Linked DNA regions of Caenorhabditis elegans. The main gene of each other region encodes a partner of the protein of the gene in region 3 in a complex. Each region holds a gene or a part of one and is shown on either strand. Other genes may lie near its edges.

Region 1 (4,299 bases), on a different chromosome or scaffold from region 3:
GAAACTTTTGGAAAATTTTTTTGAGAAAAAAAAACGAAAAATCTACAGCCCAGTCTGAAACCAGCTGGTACCAAGATTTTTCTTTACAATACTAAAAATAATTTTCTACAATTTCCAGAAGAGTCGCAAAAAAGATGATCAACTCCTACATAATCACCGGTCCCCTCTACCTTCCAAAACTTGAAGGAGATGGAAAAAAGTATATCAAGTATCAAGTTATCGGTGATAATAACGTTGCAGTGCCAACTCATTTCTTCAAAGTTGCTCTTTTCGAAGTGACACCCGGCAAATTCGAGCTGGAATCCTATATTTTGCCAAACGCAGTCATCGAGGATACTGTAGAAATTTCCAAGTTCCATGTTCCATTGGATGCTGTGGAGAGAAGTGCGGGTCTTGAGATTTTCGCTCGTTTGGACCCTAAGAGCATTGTGAAAGAGAACGGAGCAAAGAAGGGAGGATTACTTTGGTGATTGATTGGATTGTGATTCCGGTGAATTTTAGGTTTAGGTTGTTTTGTTTTTGTTTCACAAATAAATTTTTTGTTAACTTTTTTGATTTACTGATTGAAAAAACTTGAAAACTCAATTAAAAAGAACAATACCAATAGAAATTTTAAAATCTTAACTTACTATTAGTCAACAACAAAAATTCATCCGAAATAGGGGAAGGTGGAAAAGGATACCAGAAAGGAATTTCATACGGCAAAAAAATTTGGATGAAAAACAATATCCCTATATTGAAAGTGAGACATTATTTTATGTCACTAGTTTTATGTAATATGAAATTCCTTTCACCGAGAGAAAAATATTTTAGAAAAGAAAAAGTAAATTAAAGGGAACAGGGAGGAAACAAAAACACGAGTATATTTGGGAATCTTAACGAGTCGATGAGACAGAGCTCAAAGTTCTGTCTTTTGTTCCGGCGACTTTCTCCTCAGCAACAGCTTCAGCGATGAACATTTTCGTGATATTTTCGCTGGTCACAGTCTTCGAGAAGTCAGCGAGAGCGTTGGTGTCAAAACTGGCGAGAAGCTCATCCAAAAGTCCATTTCTTGTTTGGAGTTGTGGAGCCTTGATTCTCTTGATGTCATCCATTGGAATTGTTGGATCACCACGGGCCACACGTGATTCGTTCTCCTGTTGCTGAAATTGGAAAAATATAAATTTTTAATGATAGAGATTTTTTTTTCGAAAATCGTGAATGGCACCTTTATTCCACCGAAAATGTACCCCTCACATCCGGTTTTATAGTTAGTGGAGCCTCGATATGTTGGAAAATGGTTTTCAAAAAACAAGACTTTAGGTTTGAAAGCCGTTACACTTCGGAATATAAATTTTAGCGATACAATCAGGATATTTTTAATTTCAAAATTCGAAATTCTTACTCTTTTCTGCGTCAGACTGAACACCATATTATCATGTCTTTGCTTGTCAATAGTGTACTTCGTCAACGACTGAATTGACTTGTTCAGCTCATCAACATTAGCCATCATAGCTCGGACCGACTTTTCAAGCGACTTCTTGGATCCCAAATCGAAGTGTCTCGTGGAGTACTTGTCAGAAGAGCATGATTTAGCGAGTGAAAGCTCAGACATGAGAACATTGTTGAGATATGAGGATTTGATGATGATTGGCAACTCCTCGAACATGTTCTGGTATGTCAAACCAGCGGCTTTCACCCTGAAAAGATATGTCTTTGCAAATATATTTTTAAACTCAAAAACCATACAATTCTGGTCTCCAGTCATTCTTTGAAGCGAGATCAAGAGCAGCGGTGGAAAGACGCCAGGCTCTTAGAGAAAGCTGTCCTTGGCGAGTCTTGATTGGATCTGAAAGCAATTAGAATTAATTATTTATCCTCATTAATCTGTCTAACCATAAATAAGAACAACATTTTCTGGGCCCATAGCCTGGTAATCGAACATAGATTCTACGAGATCGTGTGAGAAACCGGCTCCGAATTGATGAGACTGATAGAATCCAACGATTTCGTAATCGATATTCATTGTACGGAATTTGCGGAGCATGTCAAGCATCTCGTGTTGCTTTTGCTCTTCGTATTGTTGAGCGGCCTATAATAGAAAATATATTGGAATCACTAGCATGAGCTAATTTTACATTAGCATCGTCATCCATAACTGGCTCGTTGCGAACTGTTGGGAAGCAATTGGTGATTTCCAAGCGAGAATCTTCAAGGAAAACAAGACCGGTGAGAACTCCGGCACAAGCGTCTCCAGATACCTGTAAATTACATGTTAAGCTTGAAATTAAATTAAAATAATATACCTCACTAATTCCTGCATGAAGTTCACTGTCCACGTGCTTCACAATTTTCATAACCACAAGCGAATCCAAAAGGATATGCTTGACGCTCGGAGCGGTAATTGTCACTGCTGTCGACATTTTTGATAACCCTGAAAGATGAGCATTTAGTTTTTCAAATTTTCTAAAGAACAATAAACAATAACATGCATCTCACAAGAGGAAAAATCAATAATCTAAGCATCACGAATTTTTCGAAAGAAAATTAAAAATATAAATTTCAGAAAATTGGCGAGAAAAACCTCAAAATAATCAATAAAATCTTGAAAATAGGAAACACTCCACGAAATTAATTCCTTCCGTTGTTGTGTGCAACTGCGCGTCAATTGTAGTGCATGCACACAATTGCACACCGTACCCGCGCGTGATCTTTTGATTTGAATTCAAATTTTTGTCGTTCTTTTGTTTTTGGGATTTACTTTTTAAAATGCTTTTTGAAACTTTTTAAGAGAAATTGTATATTTTCAGATGCAATCGAGTGCATCCAACGACCCTAATAAACCTACAAATAATGAAATAATAAAGGTAAGCGCATTTATGAAAAAAAAATCAATAAAACACAATTCTTAAATAAACTAGCTTTATTGGAATCCATTTGAAGATTTAATATTATAACCAAATGCATATTAAAAAATAATTGTAAATTTGTTTCAGACACCATTGGTTCCACCAAGTCCACGTGGAGGATTAAAACGAATGGCGGGAATGAGCCAATTGAAATCGACTTTTTCAATTTCTTTGGAGGTAAAACCCTCAAGTTTCCAGCATTTTTGTTTAATAATATTCATAATAGTCTCAGAGAACAATCCCACCACCATCATCGTCCTCATCCTTCCTATCCCATTCAACATCGATGGTTTCTGTAGCAGCGAGTCTCAAAAGAGCCGGTGTACCTAGTCTAACTCGAACAAAGACTAGTGCATTACCCATAAAAATGGAGAAAAAGCCAATGGTTCCATTGCGGATAGAACAGGACCACCAGACACCGATCCGAAAACTGGCTCCGGAGAGTATTCCAAGCCTGGAAGATCAAGTAACACCGCCAATGCGTCGATCTAGTAGTGGATCAATGCTGTTGAGACAGACGCCTGAAAGGATTCGAAGGCAAGAAGAAGATGTGGAAACACCTGGTTCTCCAGTTAAAAGATACCGAAGATCCGGGTCAATGCCACGATTAGAGGCCCAGTCCCTTGATGTTCCAATACGAATGGAAATTGGAAATAGCTTAACTCCTGTGTTAAAGAGGAAGAGAACATCTTCATTAACGGTAATATATTCAACTGAATCATATCAGAGCTGGGCGGCAAATTTTTTTTCGAAAAATTCGGCGAATTTCCGAAAATTTGATTTTTCGGCAAATGCCGATTCGCCGGAAATTTCAATTCCGGCAATCTGAAATGTTTTCCCGTTTTTCTAGATATTTTCATAGAATTTCCTTACTTTTCAAAATAGAAGTAGGAACATATTTTTTTATATTACGGGAACACAAAATACTGAGAACGCGTATTACACAACATATTTGACCCGCAAAATATCTCGTAGCGAAAACTACAGTAATTCATCAAATTACTCCTGTAGCGCTTGTGTCGATTTACGGGCTTGATTTTGGAAATATCTATCGATGAATAAATAATTTTAATTCATTTCGAGAATCGAGCCCTTAAATCGACCTACAGTAGTCATTTAGATAATTACTGTAGTTTTCGCTACGAGATATTTTGCGCGTCAAATATGTTGTGAAATACGCATCATCAGAATTTTGTGTTCCCGTAATAGGAGGCGTACAATTTCGCGTCTTTAACTTGAAATTCTGAAGTTTCCAATAAAAAGTGCAACAGCACAGTTTGCCGAAATGCCGGAAATTTCAATTCCGGCGATTTGCCGATTTGCCGGAAAAAATCGTTTGCCGCCCAATCATATAAAACTAGTTTCTGAAAATAACAAAAAATATTATTTCAGTGTCTCTTTTCATCCGACA
Region 2 (5,158 bases), on a different chromosome or scaffold from region 3:
TTGATAAAACTAATGTAACTCAAAATATGAAACGGCCCAAGACTATGAAAGATATTTTAAGTTTCCAAGTTCTTTCTTAAATTCCAAAACTTCTTTGATTCAACAACTTTCTACTAAAACGCTCATAGCAAATCATCTGCAAGGACGAATCCATTGAGAATAATGTATACTAATCATCATGTTATAGTAAAAATTGCGTGATTTGTACAGTAAAAGGTCAGCAGCATTGTTGTGAGGACTACCCCCTTGGATTGTTGCTTGCTCTTTGATTGTTGAGCGGGCATCGACTGGAGCTCGGTATCGATTGTGCTAGCCAAATAAAAATCGATTAGAGGTGTGGCATTTGAAGAACATCAAATTTCTATAGATACGAAAGTGTCTATATGTATCAAGTAGCAGACTAAAAAAATTCCAAAAAAAATCGCCTACCCCACCTCTATTTTCGATTTTAAATAACCAGTCATTCGATTGAGCGCGCAATTGAGTGCCGCTAGGTCATCAAACAGGGCCGCTCATCGCAAAAACATAGCTTGACAAAATGCTGCTGTGTTACCGTACTAATCATGGAGAACCAAGAATCATCAATCATGAAAAAGCAAGACGATCCGCAGAAGAATAAAAAAGAACTGCTAAAAATCATTTGTGGTTTTGCCTTTAACTTTTCGTTTTATACAAGCTATCCCTTCCGTCGAAGCTGGCAGATTTTGTACCGGCAATACTCTCACTTTTTCCAATGTAAAGCCCAAACCTTTCTGTTGCACAGTCGACAAAACTCATCTAACTCAGAATATGAAACGACCTAACCCTGTCAGAGATATTTTAAGTTTTCAAGTTCTTTCTTAAAATCCAAAACTTCTTTGATTCAACAACTTTTTACTGAAACACTCATAGTCCATACTCTGCAAGGACGAATCCAAAGAGAATAATGTAAACTAATCATCATGTTACAGTAAAACTAACAAAAACACAACTCCGTATCCAGACATAGTCTTCCGATGCAATACACTCACTTTTTCCAATGTAAAGCCCAAACCTTTCTGTTGCACAGTCGACAAAACTCATCTAACCCAGAATATGAAACGACCTAAGACTATCAGAATTATTTTAAGTTTTCAAGTTCTTTCTTAAAATCCAAAACTTCTTTGATTCAACAACTTTTTACTGAAACACTCATAGCAAATCATCTGCAAGGACGAATCCATTGAGAATAATGTATACTAATCATCATGTTATAGTAAAAATTGCGTGATTTGTACAGTAAACGGTCAGCAGCATTGTTGTGAGGACTACCCCCTTGGATTGTTGCTTGCTCTTTGATTGTTGAGCGGGCATCGACTGGAGCTCGGTATCGATTGTGCTATTTACTTAAACAACTGATCGATAAATATATTTAAAATGTACTCGCTGCCGCGTTCTCCGGAAAAAAGGGCAAATGTCCGCATTTCTTCGTAAAGTCTGGTGTTTGCGTACACCCATTTTTCTTTCATTAAATATTTATAAATGCATTGATTCGCGTTTGAGTTTCAAAATTATCTCTATTTGAAATTCCGCGCAAATCTCATGGACGCGGCCTAGGATTCTCTTCGGTCGAGCGCTTGCAACGACGCTCCGTTCTCCCGCATGGGTGTTGTTTAGAGTTTGTTCATATTCCAAATATCGGTCCTATTTTTCAGATTTTCCAGCGTTTTCCAACATTTTTCCACAATTTTCGGAGAAAATTCTGTAAAAATTCAACTTATCTCGTTTTTCCTTCCATTTTCCTTTAAAATATCTCACAATTTACTCAATAAACCGTGTCTAAAGTTTCAGACTAGTTGGGTTACACAGAATGGTCGAAATTGACTTTAATAAAGAGAACGAAGAAGATTTTTCGGATCCGCCAGGATTTGTTGACGACGTCACCGATGATGGTTGGTTTTTTATTCAATTTTTTGAAATCAATTCCAAAAAATAGCCAACAATCAATGTTTTTATTTCAGTTCTCGTTCCTGACGTTCTCCACAAGAAACCAACTATCGATGAATTTGAAGACAATTGCGTCTTCATCGCGGGAATCCCAGTTGTTGGAGCTGACCGTCTTGGAAAACTCCAAAGTGTACTGAAGAAGGTTCTGGAGAGGTTGGATCCTGCAGTGAAGCTCTACATTCCGCCAAGTCCAGAAGGAGGTTGCTTGGTGAGATTCACGCAAACGATATCGATTTTAATATATTTTTTCCAGGGAGTTCTGCTCACCGAGTGGGCCGATCAACGATCCGCTCAGTTCGCCGTGAAAAGTTTGAATGGATATGCTTTCGATAAGAATCACACATTCACCGCCCGTTCTTTCAAGGATATGAAGCAACTCGAAGCTCCTTCCGATCACTGGACAACTCCAGAGAAGCAGGCTTATAATGACGTTGGAGATCTCTGGTGGTGGCTTCAAAACGAGCGTTGCCGTGATCAGTTCGCAATTTCCCACGATAAACTTGGAGTTCCAACTGTCGGAGTGTTCACCAATATGAAGGGAAATGATCCAGAGCTTGCAGGAGATGCCGATAAGGCTGAAAGAGCTGTAAGTTTTGAGAATTATTTGTTTTTAAAAAATGAAATAATTTTTTTTTCCAGAACTGGACCGAAACCGTCTTCACTTGGTCACCACACGGCTCCTACCTTTCCACGATCCATAAGCAAGGAATCATACTTTGGGGAGGCAAAGACTACGCTCGTGCCCACCGTTTCGCTCATACCAACGTTCAATACATTGATTTCTCGCCGTGTGAGACCTACCTTGTTACCTACGCCGCTCCGGAAGAGTCGAACAGCTGGGGAGACTGTGAGAAGGATAGTTTGAGAATTTGGGACGTCCGAACCGGAGAATTGAAGAAGGCCTTTTCCACTTTCGAGCTCACCGGAAGAACTCAGCTCCCAACCTGGCCATTCTTCAGATGGTCATTCGATGAGAAGTACTTCGCGTGCCTCAAGGCTCCAGAAAAGGATAAGCTTGAGCGTGAGCAGAAGATCAACGGAATTTCGATCTTCGAATCCGAGAAGTTCGAGCTCTATGAAGGCCGTCCCGTGAATATCGAGAATATCAAGCAATTCGAGTGGTCGCCAACATCCACAGTCCTCGCCTACTATTCAGAGTGCACTGACGCCGTTCCAGCCGAGTTTGGACTCTTGCAAGTTCCATCAATGCAGAGACTTCGTTCGGCTCGCGTTCACAATGTCGCCGACGCTCAGATGTTCTGGCAGAAGAGCGGAAAGCGATTGGCCTTCTACACGATGAGATTCAAGAAGAAGGAGTACAGAGAGACCGGAGAAGTCAAATATGTGGTAAGTTTTGAGTTTTTTAAAGGATTTTTTGAGGCCTATGACAATAATAATAATAATGATATAATTTCAGGGAGGATGCCAATACCACGTGGACATCTTCGAGATTGACAAGAAGGACGTTTCCCTTATGAATCTCCCACTTTCGGAGCCATTCATCCATTTCGATTGGGATCCAGAAGGCGATAAGTTCTGTGTGCTCGTGGGAAACACCGCTAAGGCCACTCCACAAGTCTACAAGATCGAGGCTAACAGCCACGCACCGAAGCTTGTGAGCAAGTTGGACGCTGGAGTTCACTTCAATGAGGTTCAATTCGCGCCGAAAGGAGGATGGCTTGCAGTTCTCGCCAAGGTGTCAGCTGGAGGAAACGTCTATTTCATTGATACTTCTTTGTCGGAGGCCAAGAGAACTAATGTTATAGAACATCCACTCTTCAATAAGGGATATTGGGATCCAACTGGAAGATACTTTGTGACATGCTCAACGTTGGGAGGAAGAGCCGGAGCCGATTTGGGTTACCGAATCTTCACATTCCAGGGAAGAGAACTGTGCAGAAAGAATCTCGACCGGCTCGCCCAATTCAAGTGGAGACCACGGCCGCCGGTGAAGTTGAGCGAACAGAAGCAGCGTGAGATCAAGAAGAACTTGAAGAAGACCGCCGCCAAGTTCATCAAGCAGGATGACGACGAAAAGTGCAGAGCCAGTCAGGAGGTTGTTGAGAAGCGACGCAAGATCATGGCTGCCTTCGATATTATTCGAAGCCGGAATCGCGAGCAACTCGACGCCACCCGTGACGAGAGAATCTCTCTTCGAAACGGCGTGGACACAGAAGCCCAACTCGACGAGGACGAATTTGTGGATGAGGAGATTACCATTGCGCTGAGCACAAGCAAAACACAAGCCCCTCTGACGGAGGAGGAGATGAGAGACTAATTAGTTATTTGATTTCCCGGTTTTTCCCCTTTTTTATGCGCTGCTTTTTCTTCCTGATTTCTCGAAGACTTGGAGCGGCGTCCCCTCTTTTTGGTGGTTCCACCATGTACTCGTTTTCGTTTTCCTCTTCATTTTCCCAGTCATGTCGTCATTTTCTGAACAACGCCTTTTTCTATGGCAAATTTAACTTTATGATGCCTGAATGGAGAAGGTTTTTTCAAGCTTCTTTTGGGCGGCCCTAATATTATTTAATTGTTTCTCTCTATCCACTTTAATATCTCTTGTTGCTCCCGTCTCTCCGTGTTTTCTGGTGGTTTTTGCCGATAAAATGTTGATGAATTAGTTGATGTTTCAGATTTTTTCCAAATAAACAGAAGTGAAAATTCATAAATTATATTTTTCAGCGCTATAAAATTGTGATTCTGAAAAAAAAATTCCACGTTTATTAAAAATTCCACAAATGGTGCAATGTGACGTGACGGTGTATGCACACTTTGCATTAAATTTGACGACAAATGTCTCATCGGGTTTTCTGTCAATTTTTAATCCACTTTCTCTATTTTACTCTGTTCTTTTTATACTTTTTTAAAATAAAATTTCTATAAAAAACTTTAAACTTCAATTTTAGCAATTAACCCGTTCATGCACTCATCGTTTTCGGAGCCAAATTCGCCGTTGAAAGAGGTGCTCGTAGATAAGTGGCAGACAGCCTCATGCAGCGATTTGGGCGAAGAATATGTAAAAGTAGGGGTTTTTAATGAGAAAATTTAACGAAAAAAAATCAATTTTTCAGCCGGGACCCCTGGCGAGAGCAAAATTCAACGCGTTGCGAAATAAACGCGAAGCAATTGATCGATTTTTGAAAAAGCACCGAAAAGAGGATCTCAGCTTATATATTGGTAATTTTTATTATAG
Region 3 (5,985 bases):
TTTGAGGTTGAACTTGTGAATGTTACGAAATTCCGCAAATAATCCATTTAATTTCAGGCAGCTTCCACCTTATGTGTATGCTGGTTTCGATCCAACTGCTGAGAGCCTTCACATTGGAAATCTTCTGATTCTCGTCAATTTAATTCGTGCACAGCAGTTTGGAATACGTCCAATTGCATTGATCGGAGAATTCACTGCCAGTATTGGAGATCCGAGCGGAAAGAAATCAGGTTTTTACCTAGAAAAGCGCTGAAAACTCAATAAATCATGACCTTCAGAACGGGGTCTTCTGGCCGGCGATGTAATTATGCACAACTCGAGGAAAGTAACAGATCAGATCTGCAAGATTTTTGAGAACGCGCCGGGATCAAGCGAGAAGCCGATCATCGTGAACAATAATGATTGGCTAGGAAAGGTAGTCATTCGGCTTGCTATGATGAGAAAGAAAATGTTATATTTTTCAGATTAGTCTACGAGATTTCCTGAGAGAATGCAAGAATATGCAAGTCGGAAAGATGCTTCGAATGAATACGATAAAGAATCGGCTGGAAGTTGGATTATCGTACACTGAATTCAGCTATCAAACAATGCAAGCATTCGACTGGTACACGTTATCCGAAAAGTATGGATGTCGATTCCAGCTTGGTGGATATGATCAATTGGGTCACCTGGACTTTGGAGCTCACTATATTAAGAAAATGATGAATCAAGCCTTCGCTGCAGGAGTATGCTTCCCGATTCTGACGGATTCTACTGGTGCCAAGCTCGGAAAGTCTGAAGGAGGAGGTGCGCTGTGGCTTGATGCGACGAAGACGTCTCCGTTCCATTTCTATCAGTTCTTCGCGCAGCTTCACGATGACAAAGCGGAAGAGCTTCTGTTACTTTTCAGTTTGCAAGATATCGAACATATAAGAGATGTTCTGAAGAATCATAGGAGCAATCTTGGACAATGGATTGCTCAGAGGGAGTTGGCCGCCGAAATTACTCGAATTGTGCACGGAAAAGAAGGTTTAGAAGTGGCGATGCGGTGTACAAAAGCAATGTTTGGAGCCAAGAAGGCTGATTTATCGGGATTGTCGAGAAGTGAAGTATTGCAATTATTCAGAACAACAATTGACTTGAAAAAGGAGAATGTAAGCATCAAAAAATTAGTTGTCGAAGATTTTATTCTTTTTCTTCCCAGGTAGCAACAATGGGCCAACTCGCGGACGCATCTCGACTAGGCAGTGGGAAAGGTCATCTTTTGATGCAACAAGGAGCATTTTCAGTGAATGGAGAGAAGAAAAGATCTCCATCGGAATCAATAGCAGACGTTTTCCTGGAAAATGCCTCCGATCTCACCCTTGTTTGTTGGGGAAAACGAGGTTACCAGCTGGTTCGATGGGTTTGAATAGGTTCAGTTTTAGTTGTTATAATGAAAATAAATATTCATTTTTTTGTTGTATTTGTGGTGTCATATTCTCGGCGTTCTCTACGCTTTATTATATCTCTTTTTCTCGTTTCCAAGCATATTTTTTGTATTTTATTCCTGAATAATTTTCGGCTCGTCTCTATTCGCATGAGCGGAGGAGTAGTGCACAGCAAACTTCAAAAGCTCGTTCTCTCCACCTACCGTGATTTTTTGCGCGCCTCCCGTGGCCGTGACCCGAGCATTCGCACGCATATTCGGCACGAGTTCCGCGCCGCTGCAACACGTTTCGAGCCAAGTGACCTGTTGCTCATTGAGCATCATTTGAGAAGAAGCCAGAGACAGCTGGAAGCGATTCGGAAAGGACACATTGAGAAGATCGCAACGGTTGATAGCGCCGCGAAATAAAGGTGAATGAGTTGAAGTTTGATGTGCATTTCTCCTTTTTGCTCGTTCACAGTTCCATATTTTCTAAACTGCATGTACAATATTTCAGATGGCTGACACTCGTGAGCTTCCAGTTTTCGCCTACATTGATGATGTCAAGCAGCTCCAAGAGCTCCGTCAATACCTCAACAAGCACGATAGTGTGAAGCTTGATCCAAATGGTGCGGAAAACTTGTAAAGCTGATTTTTTCGATATAATAATTATGGATTAATCCAATCTTTTTGGATCTTTATCATTTTCAGGTCGATCGACTCTTTTTCAACATTTCTGTATCAATTTCTTTCTCAAAAAATTGAATATATCATGTGGAAACGGCAATTCTACAAAATTTTCCTATCGCACCATGTTGTTCCCACTTTTTTTAAAATTTAAATTGTTCTAAAAATATATAAAATCAATTGATTTGGCCTTAAATAGTATTTATTTTAGTTTAAGCATTTGAAAATTGCTTACAAATTGCCATTTCTCAACTAAAATCAACGATATTTTCAGATAAACAAAGTGATTTTCTATGTTTTCACATTATTTTTAATGAAAAATGTTAGAACAACATGATGCAATAGATCATTTTGTAGAATTTCTCCCATGGAAATACGTAAACTTTCAGAAAAGATTTGCGGTACAGCCCTGCTTCAGAATTTGGATTTAAAAAATTTCAGGACCATCAGAGACCGCCCAAAACATGATCGAAATCTGCTCCACTCTCAACGTGCTTCCTTCATGGTCCCAGGACGTCGATCTGGTGCTCAACTCGATATCATCTCTTATCGTCGTTGTGCCAGGCGAGAAGTGTGAGCCAGTCGTCGACTCATTCATCAAGAATGTTGCTCCACAATTCTACAAGGGAACCGGATGGGCTAGTCACGCCGGAATCGCCGTTCGTGTGCTCTCGAATTTGTACAAGGGATACTCGAACTTCCATACTGTACAGGAGAAGATCTTCAAGGCGCTCGTTGATATGTGCGCTGAAGCAAGACTCATTGGAGAGCTGGAATGCAATCTTGAGACTCTTCAAGATAGATTCAACACATGGAAGACGCCAGTCGAGGGACAACGCGAGATCTTGAGAGCAGTTCATCGTGCACTTCTTGTTGATCAGAGAGTTGATCAGGCTGCCAAGGTGGGTTTGATAAAGAACTATCGGTTTTTATACTTAGCTAGACACAAAAACTGCCTTTAAAAAAATTATGGCGGTTAAATATTGCTTAATTTCTGCTAAAGTCTTCAATTTTGCAAACTGTCCCGTCTCGCGGCTTGAACACAGTTTTTATTGAATCTTGGTCTCTTATCTCACACTGTTTTGTTGTTTGCGGTACATTTGAGGGTGATGTCACCAAAATGTTCAAAATTTGGCCAAAAACCCCAAAAGTGGACAAAAATGCCAAAATTTCGCCAAAGAATGAACAAAATTCGATCAAAATTGAACCAAAATGGCCAAATTCCACTAAAAATTGAGCTAAAATGACTAAATTGAACGAAAAGCGCGAAAAGTAAACCAAAAATGACAAAATTTCTACTGAAAATGGCCTGTAAAGTTGGCCAAAAAGTGGACCGACTTTTGTCTAAAACAACAAAGATTGGACCAAAATTGAACCTTTTCTTCATAATTTGAAGTTTCCATAATTTAACAAAAAATTACCGAAAACCACCGAAATAAGTTTATTTCTGACCGTTGGGACACGAGAAGTTGGCAAATCAGAGATTTTAGCTGAAATTAGCGAAATTTTTCGAGAGAGATTTAAATCGCCGTAGAAATTTGAGAAATTTTTCAAATCACGAAATTTTTTTTTGAGTCAATACAAGCTAAAACGCCAAAATCATAAGTCCTCATAACCTTTAAAAAAGTGTTTCCAGGTTATGACTGCACTTCTCGGAACATACACAGAAAAGGACGCTGCCGCAGCACGAGATGATGCTATGGAATGTGTTAGAACTGCTGTCGTCGATCCGAAATCATTCTCCTTTGATCATCTCGAACGACTCAGTGCAGTCAAAGCGTTGAAGACTTCCGATCCACTGATGTTCACAGCTCTCGAGTTGTTCATCTCTGGAACTCTCAAGGATTATAAGGAATTTGTTGCCAAGAATCCGAAATTTGTCACCGAGCACTTGAAGGTTGACGAGACTATTCTTCTCAAGAAGATCCGTCTTTTGACACTCATGTCGCTTGCTGAAGAGAAGAACGTACGTTTGGATATTACTGGGTCTCGCCACGCTCACAACGAGTTACTGTAACTCGTTTCGAAAATCTTGGCAGCAATTTTATTGAAATTTATGATTCAAGGGAAAAGTTTTAGTGTCAAAATAACACATTTTTATCGTTTTTCGACTGCAAAATTACAGATTTTAAGACTAAATAACGGCTTTGGCGAATGATATTACATAGACGATTAAAGAGGAGAAAATGGGTCTCGCCACGCTCACAACGAGTTACTGTAGCTCGAATTACGAACTGCTTATATGTTTTTTTTTTATTTTCGCAGAAATTTTTCATTTACCTTCCAATCAAAATTCAAGAGCACTTCTAAGCTGAAAACCTGAAATGTAAAGCTAAAAATTATAAATTGCAAACTTTTCGGATGAGAAACATCCATTAATGTGGATTTCCAGGTTAAAAACATGCAATTTTCGTAAAAATTTTAGTGTAAAAATACAAAAAACCAAAATTTCACACTTTTTTACTGCAAATTTGCAGATTCTAAGACTAAAAAACGACTTTTTCCGAATGAAAACCCGGCCAAAAATGAGGATTTTTAGGTTAAAAACCTGTCATAATCTCTTAAAATTACAATAACTCGTCTCTAGGAAATCTCCCGAAAAACCTATAATTTTGTGGAAAATGTTGAATATTCCATTTCTGTAAAGAGCGAAATCTCGAATTTTAACAATTTTTCAGTTAGAGAAAGCTCAAAATTATTTGAACACCTTTGAATGCGAAAATGTTGAATTTTCGTTGAAAAATTGGATTTTTAGCGCGCCGAGACCCATATTGCAAAAATGTGAAGTTACGATACAGTAACTCGTTGTTTGCGTGGCGAGACCCATATGGAAACGTCGGTTGGCTATATAACATTTGAAACGTCCGAATTAAATAAAAATTGCTGAATTTTTCAGGAAATCAGTCTCGACGAATTGGCCAAACAATTGGACATTCTTGCCGATGAGACCCTCGAAGAATTTGTGATCGACGCGATTCAGGTGAACGCGATTTCCGGAAAAATCAATGAAATGGCCCGAACTCTCATCGTCAGCTCCTACCAGCACAGAAGATTCGGAACGGAACAATGGGTTCTACTCGAGGTATATAATATTTACTCGTTGGGTTTCCATTTAAAAATTGATTTTTTTCCAGAAACGCCTGAAAGTCCTCATCGCAAATCTGAAGCAAACGCACAACAACGTCCATGAAGTGAATCAGAGAATCGAGGCTCTCTAATTGTTTTTTTTTCGCTGTTCTTTTTAATATATTTGTTTTTGGTTCTCCCTATCGTATTTTCTTCCCATGAAAGTCCCCCGTTTTGTTGGTTCCCTCCTCTATAATTTCTATCTCTCTCTTGAAAAATTTCCCCATAAACTGTTGATTTAAAAAAAGAAAATGTTCCCCACTCTTCTGACTTAATATGGATTTTGTTCACTTCGAAACCCGATTATTTCTATTTATCCGTCGCTTTATCTTGTTTTTTTGTTATGCGATAAGCACACGGGCGTCTCACTTTACACTGATGCTCGTGGAGCCGGAGGGACAAGAGATTAGTCTCTTCCGCTTCGATGATAATCAGATGTTTGTCACTTGACGGACGAAGCCAATCTTTGTTCTTAATTTTCAGAGTTCGGAGAAACTAGCCTTTTTTTGAAGAAAAGTCCAAAAATTCTGCTAATGAAAACGGGAATTTTAGTTAATTTTCCTTTTTCTCAAATTCTTTTTGAAATTAAATTTAAAAAATTCGAGTCATATTTAAAAAAAAACCATGCCTTCTCTATTTTGCACATTTTAGAAGTTACTGCCGCATTTTTTTTCCAGATTTTGGTACATTTTCAGTCGATAGGTGCACAAAAATTGGAAATTCGTGCGCCTATAGACTGTAATTGTACCAAAATATGCGAAAAAAATGATCTACAAAATTATTTT
Region 4 (3,772 bases), 940 kb from region 3:
AATTGGAGTATTCTGTCATTGAAACCTATGCAAGAAAAAAGTTTGATTCAGGCGCATAAGAGAGCCTATAAGTGGGTGGAGACTGTTTTTTTAAACTATCTTTGTTGGGGAAACCTTTTTTTTATTAATTTCGATGGATTTAATTTGCTAAAATATGTGGAAAAATATATACTATAATGGAAAAATATTTCAAACTGCTTTTAGTTAAATTTTTCAAAAACTTTTTGGAACTAATTTTTAATTGATGTCCTAGGCTTCAGCAATCGTAATTTTGGATGTTTACCAAAAATAAATTTTTCTTTGAGTTTTCGAAATTATTAATTAATTTTATAAATTCTAAAATTTCAAACCTGCAGAGATCCATGAAATTTCTCAAAAAGGGAAAAGTTTCGCAAAAAAAATTTGGCAATTTGCCGAAACTCTGACTGAAATTTTTAAACACTCTATACATTTCTTAAGTGTATGTTTAGATTTTAATTTTTTTCATCGATTTAAAGGATTTTTAAAAATTCCTTTTGACAATGATCCATTTTTATTGTTTTTCTATAGTTCAAGACTTAATTTTTTTTAAATTTAGCCCTCTCCCATTTAAAAAATTTTTCATCTTACTAAACCCGTCCAAACCTCGTTTAAATAATGTTAAGATAAATATAAAAATAGGGCAGTAACAATTTGATCTACCTACATATAATTGTTTTTCAAATTTCTTCTGTTTCAAAAACTTCTTGAAACGGGAACATTTTTCCATTGACATTCATTTTTTTTTCCACGTCAAACTCACATATCAAAACAAAACTGTTCTCCTAAATTTGAGCAAATTCCATAGGAAATATAAAATAATTGTTTCCCAGCTGGAATAACTCGTTGTCCAATCAGAAATCCACTAAGACATGCTCCAAAATTAGTGAATGCCATGTTAATAATGACAATTGAGAATGTTCTTATAATAGACGGACTATGAAATATTGCCACGTGGAGGAGGAATAAATTAACACAATATCCTGAAACAGTCACCAACGAGTTGATAATCAGGAAAATTGCGGATAACATTTTTTCTGCGAAATGTTTTCTTGCTCAGCTTGTGGCTTTTATAAAACTTTTTGCTTGCAGTAGCAAGTATTCATGAATATTCTTCTGGAAGATTTAAGGGTCATTGATGAGGTTCAGTATTTTGTAGTATACATTCTAGACTACACCAGATTGATGATATGTTTCTGGAATTGAGCAAAAACCTTTGAACTGGAATGCCAACTTCTCTAAAAGGGATCCACAATGCAACAAGCTGGATAACCAGTCTTTAGGACATTTAAAACTTAAATATCTTATTCCGCCATAATCATTTTTAATACATTTCTCCTATTTATTTGTTCTTCTATGAAATCAAGTCTTCCAATTGTAGTACATCCGCTTGGTGTCGGTTTACGGTAAACAACGCGCACCAACGGAAAGTTGGAGTGTCGTTGTTAGAATAACAACAGATATTTTCTCATTTCAAATTTCAGATTTTTTTTAGTTTTTGTTGGTTTCAATCGATTTAAAAAAATTATAATCTGAGAATTACTTAATTTGTTTCAATTCTTCATGTAAAATCATCTCATTATCATTTTTCATGCCCTTATCGTCTTATTGATTGTATTTCTTAATAATATTAGCAAGGTAATGCTTTTTTCAGACGATGGAAGTTGATAACGTCAAGCCATCCAGCTCAGTTCCGCAGAGAAACTGGGAAAAAGAAAATAACGTCAGTTTTTCTTAAATATTTTTAGATTTTTAATATTATTTGTGTTTCAGGTCCAAAATGTCGATTCGATTTTCGAGTACAACAACAAGCAGCAAGTAGAAATCAGAAATGCAAAACCATGGGATAAAGATCCACATTATTTCAAACAAATCAAAATATCTGCAATTGCTCTTCTGAAAATGACAATGCACGCGAAAAGAGGTGGAAATCTGGAAATTATGGGACTTTTGCAAGGTCGAATCGATGCTAATTCTTTCATTATTCTTGATGTATTCGCTCTTCCAGTTGAGGGTACTGAGACCAGGTGAAATGATTTACGCTGGGAGTAATTTCGAACATTTTAAATTTCCAGAGTCAATGCCCAAGCTCAAGCCTACGAGTACATGACAGTTTATTCTGAAATGTGCGATACGGAAGGTCGAAAGGAGAAAGTCGTCGGATGGTATCATTCTCATCCTGGATATGGATGCTGGCTATCCGGAATCGACGTCTCAACGCAGACACTCAATCAAAAGTTCCAAGAGCCATGGGTTGCTATTGTTATTGATCCATTGAGAACTATGTCTGCCGGAAAGGTTGACATTGGCGCATTCCGTACATATCCAGAAGGATACCGTCCACCAGATGATGTTCCATCAGAGTATCAGTCGATTCCTCTCGCAAAGATTGAGGATTTCGGTGTACATTGCAAACGATACTACTCGCTTGACGTCAGCTTCTTCAAATCACAACTTGGTAGGTGAAATTTATATTTATCGGGAATGAATTACATAATAAAAATACGATAAAGGACAATCAACTGTAAAATCCAATATTCAAAGCTTTGTTTTTTGGATTGTTTAAACTTATTGGAATCGAATAGCTTGAAATTTTAAACTTTTAAAATAAGAATAATAATATTAAACATCTCAACGGGAAATTGGTCTCAATTGAAAAAGAAACATCTCCGATTCTTTCCCGTTTTAATAATTAAAATTCCAGACGCTCACATCTTGACTTCTCTGTGGAACAGCTATTGGATTTCCACTCTCAGCAGTTCTCCACTCTTCTCAAACGTCGAATTCCTCAACAATCAAATTCAAGACATCAATCAGAAGCTGTCGGCCGTCGATAAGAAGCTCCAATTGAATGACAGAAGTGTCGATGGACATGAAGCTTTGATGAAAGTCGTGACCGATGCAAAGGCAGTCGGAGATGAACTTGAAACTGGAAGAATCTCTCATCTCGTGAAACAACTATTGTTTGCTCGCCAAGCTGGTGGTGGCTGTGGATGTTCCCATGCTTCTGCAGGATCTCCAATGGATATCGCCGTGGCAACTGAACCCGAGAAGGCTGGTCCTTCTCCATCTGCTCCGGAGCCCGCTGTTGAGATGGCCGATGCTTAATTCTCGTTTTGTCTATATTTATAAATCAAGTCCCCCTGTTTTCTGTGTTAAATTCACCAACATCATTTTATTTGAATGAAATTTTTGCTTTTCAATGATTGATTTTTTCAAATTTATTTCCATAAATGAGAGATTCAAACGATATATGGACATATATGAAAATGTACAAGAGTAACTGGGAAGGGGAAGTCTGGGGATGGAGGAGGGATACAAGTTCCAAAAATACAAGAAAAAGAATAGATCTGAGAAATTTGAGAAAAATTGAAAATGACAAAAAAGAAGAGGAAATTGATACGATATTACGAGAGATTTGAGGATATAATAGAAATAACTGTAAAGATCATATTTTTCAGGTGTATGGGGGTGAACAGGATGGGGGGGTCGTGTGGTGCACGTATTCTTTCGTCACGAGACCCGTTTCTATCTATTTGTATGATGATTCGGAGATGTAGTCTGAGCTCCGGGCTCAAATGAAAAACTAGGATACTAATGAGAGGCGACAAGGGGATGGGGATCAGATAATAAATTATCAAACTGGGTATGATGAAGAGATGATAAAACTGTTGCAAGATAGGGGTTGCTCACTTTGTGGGGATTGAAGTGGGTGAGGTATTTCACTGGGAAATCAAAGAATCCGAAGGGAGGA

The links.
Region 1: cif-1 (region 3) and eif-3.H share a complex: the UniProt entries of both Caenorhabditis elegans proteins name them as parts of the eukaryotic translation initiation factor 3 (eIF-3) complex.
Region 2: cif-1 (region 3) and eif-3.B share a complex: the UniProt entries of both Caenorhabditis elegans proteins name them as parts of the eukaryotic translation initiation factor 3 (eIF-3) complex.
Region 4: cif-1 (region 3) and csn-5 share a complex: the UniProt entries of both Caenorhabditis elegans proteins name them as parts of the CSN complex.

What each region holds. Positions count from the first base shown.
Region 1 is NC_003279.8:4,442,833-4,447,131, reverse strand, and holds eif-3.H (Eukaryotic translation initiation factor 3 subunit H), read right to left. Parts: upstream 2,414-4,299; 5' UTR 2,403-2,413; coding exon 2,286-2,402; intron 2,241-2,285; coding exon 2,118-2,240; intron 2,072-2,117; coding exon 1,876-2,071; intron 1,829-1,875; coding exon 1,729-1,828; intron 1,680-1,728; coding exon 1,385-1,679; intron 1,143-1,384; coding exon 876-1,142; 3' UTR 519-875; downstream 1-518. Other genes in the region: cps-6 (Endonuclease G, mitochondrial), read left to right, coding at 119-470; C41D11.3 (Cysteine/serine-rich nuclear protein N-terminal domain-containing protein), read left to right, coding at 2,790-2,846, 2,976-3,065, 3,115-3,588, 4,281-4,299. UniProt on the Caenorhabditis elegans protein: Component of the eukaryotic translation initiation factor 3 (eIF-3) complex, which is involved in protein synthesis of a specialized repertoire of mRNAs and, together with other initiation factors, stimulates binding of mRNA and methionyl-tRNAi to the 40S ribosome.
Region 2 is NC_003280.10:14,793,601-14,798,758, forward strand, and holds eif-3.B (Eukaryotic translation initiation factor 3 subunit B), read left to right. Parts: upstream 1-1,803; 5' UTR 1,804-1,828; coding exon 1,829-1,910; intron 1,911-1,979; coding exon 1,980-2,173; intron 2,174-2,218; coding exon 2,219-2,551; intron 2,552-2,604; coding exon 2,605-3,312; intron 3,313-3,382; coding exon 3,383-4,243; 3' UTR 4,244-4,635; downstream 4,636-5,158. Other genes in the region: tbc-20 (Rab-GAP TBC domain-containing protein), read left to right, coding at 4,886-4,987, 5,037-5,142. UniProt on the Caenorhabditis elegans protein: RNA-binding component of the eukaryotic translation initiation factor 3 (eIF-3) complex, which is involved in protein synthesis of a specialized repertoire of mRNAs and, together with other initiation factors, stimulates binding of mRNA and methionyl-tRNAi to the 40S ribosome.
Region 3 is NC_003282.8:4,706,313-4,712,297, reverse strand, and holds cif-1 (COP9/Signalosome and eIF3 complex-shared subunit 1), read left to right. Parts: upstream 1-1,542; 5' UTR 1,543-1,818; intron 1,819-1,904; coding exon 1,905-2,016; intron 2,017-2,515; coding exon 2,516-2,976; intron 2,977-3,710; coding exon 3,711-4,040; intron 4,041-4,970; coding exon 4,971-5,156; intron 5,157-5,208; coding exon 5,209-5,292; 3' UTR 5,293-5,444; downstream 5,445-5,985. Other genes in the region: yars-2 (Tyrosine--tRNA ligase), read left to right, coding at 1-6, 58-230, 279-415, 465-1,133, 1,184-1,390. UniProt on the Caenorhabditis elegans protein: Component of the eukaryotic translation initiation factor 3 (eIF-3) complex, which is involved in protein synthesis of a specialized repertoire of mRNAs and, together with other initiation factors, stimulates binding of mRNA and methionyl-tRNAi to the 40S ribosome.
Region 4 is NC_003282.8:5,647,861-5,651,632, forward strand, and holds csn-5 (COP9 signalosome complex subunit 5), read left to right. Parts: upstream 1-1,672; 5' UTR 1,673-1,675; coding exon 1,676-1,741; intron 1,742-1,791; coding exon 1,792-2,045; intron 2,046-2,093; coding exon 2,094-2,476; intron 2,477-2,722; coding exon 2,723-3,126; 3' UTR 3,127-3,219; downstream 3,220-3,772. UniProt on the Caenorhabditis elegans protein: Probable protease subunit of the COP9 signalosome complex (CSN), a complex involved in various cellular and developmental processes.